2 linked regions of the Danio rerio genome follow. The main gene of each other region encodes a partner of the protein of the gene in region 2 in a complex. Links are inferred from orthologs where the notes say so. Each region holds a gene or a part of one and is shown on either strand. Other genes may lie near its edges.

Evidence for each region. Proteins that work in one complex are often made in the same cells at the same time.
Region 1: the proteins of (E3-independent) E2 ubiquitin-conjugating enzyme UBE2O (region 2) and nap1l1 are in contact, whole or in part, in a cryo-EM structure (PDB 7UN6), measured with the Homo sapiens proteins. The link is inferred for Danio rerio from reciprocal best matches to the Homo sapiens genes UBE2O and NAP1L1. Residues at the interface, in NP_071349.3 of Homo sapiens: Ser225, Asn226, Val282, Lys283, Pro284, Val285, Lys289, Ser290, Lys291, Phe292, Arg293; in NP_001317160.1 of Homo sapiens: Arg333, Arg337, Thr343, Gly344, Glu345, Ala346, Ile347, Asp349.

The regions. Positions count from the first base shown.
Region 1 is NC_133179.1:2,691,942-2,699,478, forward strand, and holds part of nap1l1 (nucleosome assembly protein 1-like 1), read right to left. Parts: intron 6,315-7,537; coding exon 6,222-6,314; intron 4,307-6,221; coding exon 4,178-4,306; intron 2,006-4,177; coding exon 1,934-2,005; intron 1,851-1,933; coding exon 1,711-1,850; intron 1,335-1,710; coding exon 1,189-1,334; intron 399-1,188; coding exon 379-398; intron 134-378; coding exon 11-133; intron 1-10. UniProt on the Homo sapiens protein: Histone chaperone that plays a role in the nuclear import of H2A-H2B and nucleosome assembly.
Region 2 is NC_133181.1:21,999,937-22,008,018, reverse strand, and holds the start of (E3-independent) E2 ubiquitin-conjugating enzyme UBE2O, read right to left. Parts: upstream 5,061-8,082; 5' UTR 5,039-5,060; coding exon 5,003-5,038; intron 4,785-5,002; coding exon 4,371-4,784; intron 1-4,370. Other genes in the region: aanat1 (serotonin N-acetyltransferase), read left to right, coding at 6,343-6,496, 6,651-6,805, 7,579-7,884. UniProt on the Homo sapiens protein: E2/E3 hybrid ubiquitin-protein ligase that displays both E2 and E3 ligase activities and mediates monoubiquitination of target proteins. Negatively regulates TRAF6-mediated NF-kappa-B activation independently of its E2 activity.

The sequences.
Region 1 (7,537 bases), on a different chromosome or scaffold from region 2:
GTTCACTCACGTCATCATCGTCATCTTCGATGGCCTCTCCAGTGAAATACAGCACAGCTCTGGGAACGATACGCTCACGGATGAAGTGACCGATCTCGAAATCTGCTGCTAAAACTGCCTCTGAGTCTTCATCCTGAAACAGCATCAACAAACTTTCACTCCTAATATTACTGTGTGACACTCATTTAATACCATTATATACACCAGCATATCTCGATTTCTGCAAGCTGATGTCACAAAACAAGCAATCAAAGAAATTAATTATACAAGTTCATTTTACGGTCAATTTCACACTAAATTAAGCCCCAAGTCAAAATTAAACAGTTTGTTTTATTGCGCATTTGGATATTAAGTTTAGAAGTAGGAAGATCCACTCACCAGCTCACCGCTTTCTGGAACTGCAAAAAAATTAAATAAATACAGTCAAGTAAGGAAAAACACTCATACGAAAGATTAGCTCTACATTAGTGGAAACATGATTTTTTCATTAGTATTTGCACTGGCTTTAACAACATTCATCCTGAATTACTGACATCCTTATTTTTTATACTTGGAAGCAACTTAAACTTTCAGATTATCTGCAATTTATAAAATCAACTAAATCTACTCATTTTAAAAGCATAAATTAATTAGTGCTGGGGAAAGATTACAACTAATTACACCAAAAAAATTGTGGTTATATATCCATCATGCATGGATTTCTATAAAAATACGTACATTTAATATTACTAAATATAAACAAACATTCATTTAAATATATGCATGCATGTGCATTTAGATATACAGTACACGTACGGTCAAAAAAAAACTTTAGTTTTGGGTGCAATTAATATTTGCCCAGCACTAAAATCAACAACAGCTGTAATAAACAGCACTTATTTACTGCTCTTCTCTAGAGTGTATATTGATTTTATATTACTTTTACATGCATGACACCACACCTCCACAAAATATATATGGTACTATTAGTAAAACATGGCACAGTAATACGAGAACTCACTGTTTTGTGTTAAGTGTAGTGCAAAAAAAAAAATAAGTCTTGAAAGTGCCTACAGCCATTGACATGTATTCTATAAACCAGCTAAAGTCAACAAAAACTAACATCTAATGCTTCACAGATCAAAATCCTCTTGAATCGAGGGTGAGGTAAACGGGTTGTAAATTTTCAACGCATGTAAAATGATGTACCTTCAGGCGGAGAGAAGAAGTTGAAGAATGAATCGTTGGGAACCGTCTTGGTGACCGTCCTCACTGTGCCACGACCCTTGTGCTTCTGTTTCTTCTTGATGGTTTTCAATGTGACGTTCTTGCCTTTAGTCCAGTCGATCGTGCAGCTGAAACCCAAAATCACTCAACTCAGACTCTATACTGAAGAGCTCAGTGAAAACTACTGCCGAGCACTATCTAAATTATTAATATTGAAAATGTGCATGTCGGGATTTACAACCGAGGGCAGAATCACTAGCCCACGGCCCATGAAATTATTATTTATTGAACATTTCAGATTTAGAACTATATACACAAAGCTCTAGATCAAACCAACAGAAGAGTAAATAAAAACCTTAATGGTGCTCAAAATTAGCATTGAAGCATGTCTGATACTCAAAGATCCAATTCCTGTTGCCATTTGTTATTAATGCATGAACAAATTGTTATTATCTCCAAAGCATCCTAGCACTAAAACAGGGAAAGAGCAGAATTCATCTGTACCCCGTGCAGCCCATGATCTCCGGCCCGTCGAAAGAGAAGGGGTCCGACTCGTCCGGCTCAGACCGCATCTTGTAGGTTTTTGTCAGGATTGTTTGTGTGAAGAAATCATTGGGCTCAAAGTGGAACTCTAATGTGAAACTCTACAGAAACAGAACAAAAGGCAACAGTGAGATTAAACCAATAAATCAATCAATAAGCGAATGACTCCGACAGTCAGACTCACCATGGGCTGTCCGGCGTCAGAGAATTTGACTTTAATGTCTTGTAAGTGCTTCAGGATGGGTTCATCGTGTTCCTGAGCAGGAAGAGTAAATGTGTCATTAAAACAAATGCTTAAAATCAATTCAATTCAGCTTTATTTGTATAGCGCTTTTACAATGTAGATTGTGTCAAAGCAGCTTCACATAAATGGTCATAGTAACTGGATCAGGGTGGTTCAGTTTTTAGTGTTTAAGTTCAGTTCAGTTTAGCTCAGTTCTGTGTGGTTCGAAATCATTACGGAGTCCAAACACTGAAGAGCAAATTCATCAATGAGTAGCTTTTCAGATCCTGAACCATGCAAGCCAGTGGCGACAGCGGCGGAATTGGAGAGTGAAGAAAAAAAACCTTGAGAGAAGCAGACTCAGTTCAGCACGAACATTTTAATTTCTCCGCTGGCCAAAAGTCTTGTGCAGAGCTGCAGTCTCAGCAGTGGAGGCTGGAAGCTGGCCTCAGCGAAGACTAGTAATCAGTACTATTAAATGCAACTTTCATCTTTACTTAACACGAGCAGTAATGCTGCTTACAATTTTAGTACACAATGATTTCTAAAAGCCAAATTTAACTATAATGGAGACTCATGATATTAGTTTTAACTTGCTTGTAAATTCCATTTTAGCTGAAGCGTTATCAATTTTGTGCACTTTATTAGCTGCTGCCAATACATTTCCTTATAATATACAGATTATACCTGTATTATTTATTACAGTACATAGAATTCTGTTTTATAGTACAGAAATGCAAGAAAAAAAAAGCTAGTTAAATAAAATCAGGGTTCATACACATTACTAAAACATAAGGTCATGAGAATTTACCAACGTCAGGGGTGTCCACACTCGGTCCAGGAGGGCCAGTGTCCTGGAGAGTTTAGCTCTACCTTAATCAAACACACCCGAACAAGCTTATCAAGCTCTTATTAGGTATACTAGAAATCTTCAGGCAGGTGTGTTGAAGGAAGTTGGAGCTAAGATCAGCAGGAAACCGGCCCTCCAGGACAGACTTTGAACACCCCTGACTTAAGTATATTCTCATGACCGATTGTTTCATGCAATGTCTACATCCGCATGGTTAAAGAAAAACAATGCATGTTCAAATTTGTTACAGCATATGGTAAAACACAGCAATCTATTTAGTTTAAATTTAGATCCATGTAAAATTTAGATGATGCTTACACCGCACTAATAATGTTAGTATGTGATTGGCCAAGGGCAGAATAGAAGTCAAGACACCTAACCTATATTCAAGTAAACAGATATTTGTTTTCCACGACTTTTGCAAAACTTTTCCAGGCCTGGAAAATGCCACGTCAATATTCCATGACTTTACCAGGTTTTTAATGATCGTATAAACCCTGTAAATCAGGGTACCACCAACTGTAGGGCTTGTGTTATCTAATAATCCTCCACTTCCCCACCAGTAGATGGCAGTAAGCACCAGTCCTACACTCTTCACAGCCTCAAATCCCCTGCTGCATGACCTGCTTTCAAACTAGTGACAAACACTCCCTCCAAGCAGATCAGAATGGACACTAGCCGCTCCATTTAAGTCTCTTTTAAAAACCCATTTGTTTACATTGGCCTGAGGATTGTTTTTCCATGCATCACTGCAATTATATCTTTTACATAGCGACTACAAAGTAAACTACTCTCAGATGTCTTTTTAAATTAGTATTTTCTATAAGATGCTTTACAGTAGTATATTAGTGCTCATACATTAGACTAGTCAGTACCAAAAGACAACACCAACTAATCTAACAAAAATAAAAAATTGGTTCACCCAAATTAATATGCTGGGGGAAAATAAAATTTAAATAAATTTGCATACAGAAATCAAGTTAAACAAATGCAAAATTCACAAATAAAGTGAAACGAATATGAAATGTAGTTGCAATCTTGTAGTTTGCATTTTATGGTTGCAATAAAACATTTTTATTTAAACAAAAATCCTTATTTTTCTATTCCTAAAGATGTTTAGTGACCAAACTCTTATTGGATATTAATAAGATTAATAAAACTTATATCCAATGCAACAATGTGCATGTTTAACTGCACCAAACATTTGGCTATATTAACAGATATATGTAAAAGTATTTACGTTAAGCACTTCATCTCCCTGTTAATCATGTAGTAAAGCACTTTGGTCAGTCTTGTGGCTGTTTTAAAAGTGCGTTATAAGAGTAAACCTGAAAGTAACTACACTCTCGTCCTACCTGCAACATTTCACTGAGAAGGTCCACGTTCTTGAAAACTGTGAGCCAGAACTCTGGGATGCCTTTGGGATCTTCCTTCTCCTCGTCTTTTTTCTCCTCCTCCACTTTGGCCTTTTCCTTCATTTCCTCCTGAGGGCGATAATCAACCAGAGTCAACAAAGGTAAGACTAGACTTGATTAAACGCTGAAGCTTTTATATCATTATGTGGTATCAGTATTGCTGCATTAGAGATGACACACACACACACACACACACACACATTTAAATTCTTATTGTATACAAATGCATAAACAATACTGAAGAGAAACAAAGAACAATCATTTTGCAATTGAATAAAGTACAACAGGTAACATTACACAAGTCTCATTAACAAACAATGCATTAAAATCAACAGCAATCTTTTCATTGCAGTTACGTTATTGCGATTAATGCTAATTAAACAATTTTAACTCCCATTTAATTAACCACTTACACCTTTTGATTAATGCATTAAGAAAACATCAGCTGATTAAATGCTGAAGCTTTTATCATCAAGGTATCAGTGTTGACCCAAGCCAGGAGATTAACACGAATACTTTGCATACTGCTTTATTGTATATAACAGACAAATGCTACAATAATAATCAATTGCAAAAGGATGAAAGTACAATAGGTAACATTACAATGGTCTAATTAATGCACAGTTAATGCATTAATCAACAGTGAGCATTAATGCAGTTACCATGTTAATGCAAGCAAAACTAATGATTAACACCTTTTTAATGCATTATTAGACATTAAAACAAGAGCTGCTTAAATGCTGAAGCTTTTATCTTTGAGGTATCAGTATTGACCCAAGCAGCAGATCACTGCAACATGTATAATAAAAAATACTTTGTGCAATGCTGTGTATAAACGAATGTTTCAGAATATTCAACTGCAAAAGGATAAGAGCTCAATAGGGTTATAATGGTAATAATGAGGCATTAATCAACAGTGAACCTTTAATTGCAGTAACAATGTTAACGCTACCAAAAAAACAACTTAATTTTAGTTATTAGGAAATATCAGCTGCTTAAATGTTGAAGCCTTTATCATTAAGGTATCAGTATTGACCCAAGCCAAGAGATTATTTTAACGCAAATACTTTGTGTACTGCTTTATTGTATATTATAAACAAACGCTACAATAATAATCAATTACAAAAGGATGATGAAAGTACAATAGGTAACATTGCAATGGTCTACTTAATGCACACTAGTTAATGCATTAATAAACAGTGAGCATTTTATTGCAGTTACCATGTTAATGCTAGCAAAACAAATGGTTTTAATAACCATTTACAATTTGATGTTGATGCATTTAGACATTAAAACATCTGATTAAACGCTGAAGCTTGGTATTGTGGTATCAGTATTAACCTAAGCTGCAGATTTTAACATGTATAATAACAACTTTGTGTAATGCTTATTTGCATACAACTAACAAAATGTTACAATAAACAGTTGCAAAAGGATGATAAAGTACAAGTAAAAGTCATTGCTAATTTAATGCATTAATCAACAGTGAGCTTTTTATTGTAGTTACTAAGTTAATGCTAATTAAAAATACTGAAATTAAATGTTAATTAAATGTTAAATGTCAAAGCCTTATATTACGGGCTTAATAAACAACAGGCCTGTTAAAATTTGCAAATAGACCAAGTCTTACAGCATGAATATTATTAAAGTGAACAATGTGTGTGAATATTATTCAAGGGTACTTAAAGTTTAAATAATTATTCAACTATGTTTAAGTGCCTATGATAATATGCATGTTCTTTATGGTATATTGTATTAATGTATATCAGCACGTCCAGTTAAAACAACAGTTCACCAAAAAAATATAACAAAATTACTCAATTCATGTAATTACAAACATTGAAATATTTAGAATGGCTAAAAACCAATATCCATTGACTTGAACAGTATTTGTTTTTCCTATAGATGTCAGTATTTTTGGGCGAACTGTCCTTTTAAGGCGGTGGCAGTGTTTGTAAAGCATGCAGGTATGGATCACCTGTACCTGCTTACTTACTGTCAGCTCTTCCTCCTCATCCTGCTTCCACTCACACTCTTCATCTGTGGGTTCATACGCCGCTCTCACGATCTCACTCCGCTAAACACAAACACCCATGCTTTAGCCAACTACACAGCAAAAAGGTCACAATATATGACTGCTAAAGCAACTGTTCCCAAGTTAGTTTATGCACAGAACAAACCACAATATGAATCAATATTCCTGCTGAAACGATGCATTTGTTAGATTTAGCTTGAGCAGAGTAAATCTGGTAAAAGCATTATGACCGAGGTGAGAATATAAACAGGTTGTGTTGTTCGTCTCTGGTGTCCTTGATTGAGCACAGGCTTTCAGCAGGTTTGTGTTTGCTGCAGTTGGAAATGCTGAAGCAGCAGGTCAATAGAAGCGGTTTAAATGTACAGCACTGCTCTTCTAGAACAGCAACGCTTTCTCTTCTTCCTCATTATGCATTCAATAACAATTCTCATTGGAATTAATGGAATTTAAATTTACAATTGGCCAAAAATAACCAAATGCAAGCAAACTACACAATTATTAATTACAGATGATAGTTTTCAAACTAAGTGTCACTTCCATAAACTCTCAAAGTAAAAGCATTTATATTTAAAAATGAATGAATAATTACAAGAAATAAAAAGGTTTACTTAAAACAGAAGCATATTTCAGGGGTTTGGCTAAATTTTTCTATAGTTTGACAAATTTTAAATCCTTCCCAAGTTAACTATGAAAATTAATTTGTGGAAAAAAGTATTTAGATTTTTTTTTTTTTCAAAAATGAATGCATTAATAGCAAAAATATTAATAAAATGTTTATCTTAAGGGAACTTTTGTAAAAACTTCCATATTTTAGAAAAGAGATGAGATTTGCCAGGTTAAAATAATGGAAACTGGAATTTCAGATTTAAGAAAACAAATATATATTTTAAAAAATTACATTTTAAAAATGAACGTATAATAGTTAAAAATGAGGAAACTTTGCTAAACTCCCATTTTTTTTTAAATATTATACATCTTTTCCAAGTTAAAATTATAGAAATTGGAATTGCAGAAAGAAAAAAAGCATTTCAATTTAAAATAAGATGAAGGATTAATAAATAAAAATGAATAATCAAGAAACTACAAATAAAGTATATTTTGAGGGAACTTTCACCTTATTTTAAAACTACAGCTTACAATGATTAAAAAAAAAGCATTAAGACATAAATTAAATAAATGAAATGATAGTAAAGAAACAATATGAATAAAAAGTATATTTTAAGGAAACTTCGTGAAAATTCGCACATTTTAGAAAAAAAGACATA
Region 2 (8,082 bases):
TCAACAAAAGAGTGTACTCCCATAGATCTCTGACATAAATCTCTGATAAATAATTTCAATAGAAAGCTTTTCTATTTATAATTTGTGCATAAACATTAGTCAGTACTGCAGCCAGATCTGTAGCTTATCTAATAAAATAACTAATGATAATGATCTAAAATTAGTACACCCAAATTGATATGTTATAGAAAAATATTTACAAAAAAAATGAAAACAGCAAAATTCTAGAGAAACCAAAAACTGTATACAAAATCTTGCAAATTTTTTCCAAATTAAAATGAATTTAAGTGTAATATATTTCTAGACTACTCATTTATGCGTTTATACAGTTTATACACACACACACTAATATATCTGCAGTCAATAGATGAAACATCACTCATCTGATTCATCACTGACACCAGAGTACATTTTAACAACTTCCTCAAGCAAGAACTGTGTTTTGCTAGTTTTTTGCCATTTTCATCTCCAATCAATGAAAACTCTCTTGCACCACTCTTTACGCATAAATGCACAAGTCACTATGGCACTTTACAAACAAACTTCTGTGCTTAGTAGGTTGAATTTTCCCACTAAAGCTGCATATTAATCTCTTCAGATGCTTAATGGCTATCAGATAAAGCAGTGTTTTTCAAAGTGATTTAAATTTGGATTGATCTATTGATTGTCAAAGCGACGGCGGAAACAGTTTCCAAGTTGTGCGCTCCTTGGATGTTGACAGCTATTGACACCTCTTAGAAGCAGGTATTGGTTTAAATGATACGTCAATCAAAAGGGCAAAGGTCAGCACCCATTTTCCTTTCAAAATGAAAGTATTATTTAAATCTAAAAAGACACTAAACTCCTGAACATGTTATAGATTTGATTGCTTCGGCGACTAGTTTGAAATGATCTCGGTGCATTCATTGGATGTTTATTGACATATAAACGAGTTGTGGACTAAATATTTCACTGAATTTAATTGGCTGTACCTTTTTAGAGTAATTACACCCTGTTTGTTGAAATTTTATGGATCTGTGGGCAGACAAGAGCAACAGGAGCCATAAAATGTGAGTTTTTTTCAGTTTTGTTGTTTCTGTTGTTATCGGCAGTTTGACAAAGACACTAATTGTGTCTGCTATGTTCATTGTGTCTTAAAATGGTTGGAATAGTTTTAATGACAAGAATCTCAGCTTTCAAAAGATATATGCAATGTTTTGTCTTTTTGTGGGAAGCCGTTATATTTAGCAATGTTTCCCCGACGTTTCATCAGAACGCAACGGGTTAATGATCAAAACAATCGGCAGCAGGAATGTTGCGTGCTGTCACTTTAAGAATAGCTCAGCTCTGATATGGTTTCTCTTTCACATGTCTTTTGATTCTCAACTTGTCTGTTTATTACACAAATGAGGGTTTATATGAATGATTACTAAACACCGCGCTCTGACACAAATGTGCATGTATTCGACCATTAAAGCACTCGCAGATGGCGTGAGATGTGTGTGCTCTGCTAGTCTACGAGGCCAAGCGCACACACACAACAGCATGCGCTCTTTCATGCATTTAAACACATGAATGATTTGAATATACATCAATGAATGATGCGCATCCCATGCTGCAAACATTACAGTACAGTACATGCTTTTTAGTCATTTTCACATGGAACTGAGTTTTGCAGAGCAACAAATGTGTACAACTGGAAATGGGTTGTATATGATGGAATAATCATTTTATCTTGATTAATGTTTTTTCATAATTGTTAGAAGCCAAAATCGAAATCGAAACCAGATTTTTAATTAATTGTACTGTCAGCCATATAGCTTTTGTTCAAAAATTCATTTGCAAACTTCTCTTAGACCGTTTGTCGAAATATCACCAAATTTGACTCAGATCATTGTCAGACCATGTTGACAAAGTATTGTGAAATTCATGTCAATAGGCGACCGACACATGTACTCAAATGTGCTCAATCTGCCTCTGGACTGCTTTGCTCTTTCTGGGTCTGAACTGCTTTGTTCTTTTGACCAAAATTTATGGAAATCATATTGATCAGCTATATGATTTGTTTACGCCATCGACAAATGTGCTAGCAGGACGTCAAAGTGCATCTGACGCTAATAACTCTGCAATGCTTACACATGTTTTACACAAACTGTTTACTAACCACCAATAATGAATCATAAATTTGCTAGGGGGAAGCAGTGGCGCAGTAGTGCTGTCGCATCACAGCAAGAAGGTTGGTTCGAGCCTCGGCTCAGTTGGCGTTTCTGTGTGGAGTTTGCATGCTCTCCCTGCGTTGGCGTGGGTTTCCTCCAGGTGCTCCAAAGACACAGTCTTTGTGTTCCCCCACAGTCCAAAGACATGCGGTACAGGTGAACTGGGTAGGCTAAATTGTCCGTAGTGTATGAGTGTGTGTGTGTGAATGTGTGTGTGGATGTTTCCCAGAGATGGGTTGCGGCTGGAAGGGCATCCGCTGCGTAAAAAAAAAAAAAAAAAAACTTGCTGGATAAGTTGGTGGTTCATTCCGCTGTGGCGACCCCGGATTAATAGAGGGACTAAACCGACAAGAAAATAAATGAATGAATGAATTAATTAATTAATTAATTTGCTAACAACTTTAGACTGTATTTGTTTTATTTGTTGCTTTTGGCTTCTAGACTATTTTGCTCAGTCTGCCTCTTGACTGCATTGCTCATTCTGCCTGCTGCTAGACCTTGAGGAGCTATGCAACCCAAGATATCGCAAACATTAACATTTTATTTGTACATACCTTTAAAAAGAGCACATGACTATATGTATTACAGTAAAGCAAAGGTGGATTTAAGCCTAATACTGCACTTCTTGATTCATCCATAATAATCTAGCTAGATAACATTTCAATATTACACACAGAATATTATTTAGTGATTAATATTGGCTTTTATATAATCATGTTGCATTACTACACTTGACTTTGGGTGTATTGTGAAAAAATACTGTCTTAAATGAGAGCCTGAAATATTTTATGACATACTACAATAAATAAAGATGACTCAGTAAATAATAATTTATTTTGATTATGTTTAAATACTATTAGTAGTTCTGTTCATATTTTCTTATTGTCATAGTATATGTAACAATACCGGTACTTTTAACATAAAGCGACTTATCTATGGGATGTGTTTAAAAAATACATTGTGACAACTAGCAATATTAGGAGCTAATAAATGCATACCAACAATTTTTCTTTCTTTATTTCTGGGATGATAATTATGGGATATGTTTAAAAAAATACATTGACAACTAGCAATATTAGGAGCTAATAAATGCATACCAACAATTTTTCTTTTTTTTTTTATTTCTTGGTGGGGTAGTTAAAGGGTTAATTCAAGCCATTGTTAGAAGTTTTTTTCTCAAAGACAGTATTAAAAATTATTTATTTTTAAATAAAAAAGTAATATTGATATATATTTGTAGACCTATAATTACAATTACTATATATGAGTGACACTTTTCAAAAATGACTTGTAGAAACATCCATCATAGAAAACATTTTGAATCCTTTTTGAGCTAGTTTTAAAATTATTCTGCACTAGAACCAAAACACTGTTACTTCAACAACCTACTGATATTGTTTTCTTAATCATAGTTCATTCATGCTCATTGTAAGCCATAACATGGCATTTCAGGGTGGGGTAGTTTTCTGATTAATGGAGTCTTCGTTGGAAATAGCCTAACATATGTGTTATTCACACACCATTGTATTCTAATTTAGTGCTTTATTCTAATACTATACCTGAAAGCTGAAGAATAAAATGGTGGCTTCTAGTGCTTAAACACTGAAACGAAAATCTGAAAGCAATTCAGTAGAATAATGCGATGAAGGTCCAGAAACGTCAGGGAAAGGCCTAGAATCTGAAATTGTTTACTCCAGGTTGAATTGACGCTAAAACACTTCTAATTTGCGAGTGATAAATAATTTACACTGATTAATAAATGATAAGAAATAAAAATTACAAAAAATACTCACACTCGCTACAAGCAAAATATTAAAAAGTATCTGATATAAGCCGATGAGCTTTTGTGTTGGTCCTGAACTATTTTAACTAATTATTTTTATAAATGTGCGTTTACGTTGGTACTCGCGGCTTTACGATAGTTTTTAAATGATTGTTAGGCGCTCATGTGCTTAAAACTTGTCAGTGCCCAGTGGGACAATTTTCTATATGAAACAAACACACGTTGCCTCCTTGTTTAAAAAAAAAGATAAAACTAAAAAGACAACAACAAATGTATTTCGGCTTTGCTTAAATAATCGCGACAAAAACGACGACGGTAAAATATAGCTGATTGCTCATTGTTAGTCGTATGGGGTTAACGTTGGGATAATCTGCGGCTTTCATAAACGTTACCTTCGTTTCTCGAACATCCTGTTTCGTTCCTTCAGGATACCACTGAACCCGCACAAATCCTCTACCGAGAGGCCATGGCCGTGTTTCCGCAGCACCACTCTCGTTATCCGAGTTAGCGGGAGCGCCTCCACCTCCTCCACCGCCATCACCACCAATCTCAGAGTCCGAATCTTCAAAATCCTCCTCTCCATGAATCATCCGTACAAGCCCAAAACGCATCGCCCCGTGATGTTTTCCGGAGACCAGATCATGCGTAAACAGGAGCCGCTGTGTTCCACCTTCCGTGGGAGAGAACGCGCTGGACGGAGGCTCGGAGCTCAGGCTTACGGCCGGAGAAAGCGCTGCTGGGGCGAATTGCGCCATCTCTGCTGCTGCTGCTGCTGCTGAATGATGCGGGAGGCGAGGGATGGAAACCTGTGAGCAGGAGAAACACGTGTTTACGTCTCTACGTACAGCGCCGCATGGAGGACGAGTCACCTGTTGTTTTTAAGAGCAGAACAATTAGCTTATTTGAATCTCTACTTGCATTATCAGTTGAAAACAGAGACTTAAAGCAAATGTTTTGACTTGTCAGATCATAGCAAAATTGGTTTAAATAAGGGACGAATAATGTGTGCGTGTGTATTACGTACGGCATTGTGTTGGATCATCTGTTTTATGTTTTTCATCTGCAGCTCCACCCAAACACATGATCAGATCAGCCACACGATGGCAGTGTTTGACAGGATGGTTGCTTTTGTTAAATGTTTATTTATTATTTTACTTTTAAAATCCGGGAATTATTGTTGTTTTTATTTCATCCTATAAAATATTTATTTAATAATAGACCATAAATGTGTATATCTGTAAAATAAATACAAAATAACGCTAATTAAGTTAATATCAAAAGGTGCAATTCTTCATTGATAGGCCAGGGTTATATTTAAGAGTAGAATTTATAGGAAACATTTCCTCTCCACGTTACTGTTATAGAACTAGCTATTTGTTGCCAGTGATTTACCTGCATACACCAGTTTGCATGTTTCACAAAATGTTATATAACAGGGCATTACAACAATTTCATTATTGATTTTCATGCAGTAACATGTAAACACGACATTTAAACTGTTAATGACGCATCCAGTACGTGGCTGTTTATTTAAGTTGAGATCACAAACAACTTTTGTTATTTTGCAATTACAAGGAAATAAAATTGTGATTACAATAAAAAACGTTTATGCAGATCATAATAAAATTAAGCTATGTTCTATTGTTCAGCAAATAATTTCATGCAAGATTACTGCTCAATGGTTTAAGTGATGTCTGATTAATTGTGTGCAACAGCGCCTATGTACCCATTCTGGTCTGGGAACCTTCTGAGGATGTTCTAAAAACCTCTGGGAATGTTCCCTTTATTATTTGGGAGGGTTTTTGTAGAGATTATTTTGAGAACGCAGGTTCTGGAAACGTTCACAGAGCATTTTGTGAACGAAATGGGAACAACCGTTCTGGGAATTAGTTGTTTTCGTTATCTTTATTTTCATTATACCTCCTTGTACTCCCTTTTATAGTCTTTATTTTAAATAAGACTAATCTAATCTTGGCTGTTTAATGGAATTTTAGTGTACTGATCCATCAACCCATGTGAATGAAATGGATTTTTAGGTAATTTAATTCAGTTATTAAAGTTAAGAAATAGTTTGCCACAACTATCATGAATGAAAAAAAACTGAACAAATTGAAATCAAAATGTGCCTATTGGCCATTGAACAGACTCACGTGGTTTCAGTAAACGTGATTAATGGTTAAATGGGGGCTGCTTTAAGGCTTATGGTGACTAATGAATCTTAAGCAGATGGAGGGGTATAAATGCCCATGGTGCACCTCTCCATGATTCACTTTGGACACAGCCCTTGGAAATAGAATACCCGTAAGCGACAATTGAAAACTATTTACTTATTTATAAGACGAAATACATTTTTAAGCAGCAGAAATGTCAGTAGTGAGCGCACTGCCTTTCCTGAAGCCCATCCATGCGAGAGTTCCGATTTCCCCTGGCCGCCAGCGCCGACACACGCTCCCAGCAAGCGAGTTTCGCTCGCTCAACGCCGAGGACGCAATCAGTGTGTTCGAAATTGAGAGAGAGGGTGAGGCAATACTGCAATCATCGATTTGCTTTTCATTAGGTTTGTGTGGTCATATGTGTGTAATATTCATTGTCTGGTGTTTATTTAGTGTGGGTAAATGTAAAACTGTCTGAAACGTGTCAGAACGTCAATGTTTTCTCGTTTTATTTCTCAGCTTTTATTTCAGTCTCTGGAGAATGTCCTCTTCACCTGGATGAAGTCAGGCACTTTCTCACTCTCTGTCCTGAGCTTTCTTTGGGCTGGTTTGAACAGGGAAGGCTTGTCGCTTTTATCATAGGATCTCTCTGGGACCAGGACCGTCTGACTGCTGTAATAATCTTCAAATATATACTTGTTATCGTTAGTAACATAGGTTAATTAAGTATTAGTTATTATTGTTTATTATTACTTTTACACCATAAAATTTAAACCCACATTTAGCCCTATGTCAAGTATGGGCAAACCCAGCAGTTGGGTGAAAATGTAGTTAAAAATAACTTTATTACGTTAGGATTGGTTATATTAGACAACATTGGTTTGAAACAACATAGCATTAATTCTTTTTTATTATTATTATTTAATTAAAATTTATTATAATATTAAAATGTGTTTCCCAGAGATGGGTTGCGGGTGGAAGGGCACCCACTGCGTAAAAACTTGCTGGATAAGTTGGGGGTTCATTCCGCTGTGGCGACCCCGGATTAATAAAGGGACTAAGCCGATAAGAAAATGAATGAATAAATTAAAATGTGTTGTCATCCTTGCATGGTGGTAATATATAAATAATAAATTTCATTAATAAAATTCATCAAGTTTAATGTATATTTTTCAATATTTTGTATTTTTAAAATTTTCAATATTGTTTGCCCTGGAGCACAGATTTAAAACATATTTTTATAAAAAAAAACACTTGTCATAATACACACACGCACATATTTTCAATCATGTTTCGCATGTTTTTCATGATTTGCATGTGCACGTCTTTGAAAATAAAACTTATAAATAAAATGCTAAAGAAAAAAGTAAAAACTGTAATATAAATGGTTAAGCAACTTGTACTATTCAACTTATTCATTTTACTATTTAATTTTGTCTCTTTTTAGGATGCACTGACCCTTCATAAACCTCATGGAACTACTGTTCACATCCATGTGCTGGCAGTCCATCGGACCTTCCGCCAGCAAGGAAAAGGATCCATCCTCTTGTGGCGTTACTTGCAGTATCTGCGCTGTCTACCTTATGTGCGCCGTGCCGTCCTTATGTGTGAGGATTTCTTGGTGCCCTTCTACCAGAAGTCTGGCTTCAAAGGGCAGGGTCCTTCTGAAATCATTGTAGGGTCACTTACCTTCATTGAGATGTATTATCCTATACGAGGACATGCATTCGTGCGGCGTAACAGTGGCTGCTAAGGGATTGCTATTTATGTTCTGAACCAGTCAGTTTGCTGAAGCATCTGATCTATGTAAGTTGTAATGTCTGTGATTACTTTTGTAAGACTTGGTTAAAATGAGGGGGAAAAAACAAGATTATAAAACAAAAAGAGAAAACAAAAAGGAACATTACAAAATCTCTCCCACCATTATAATTAACAATGATGGTTGTAATAT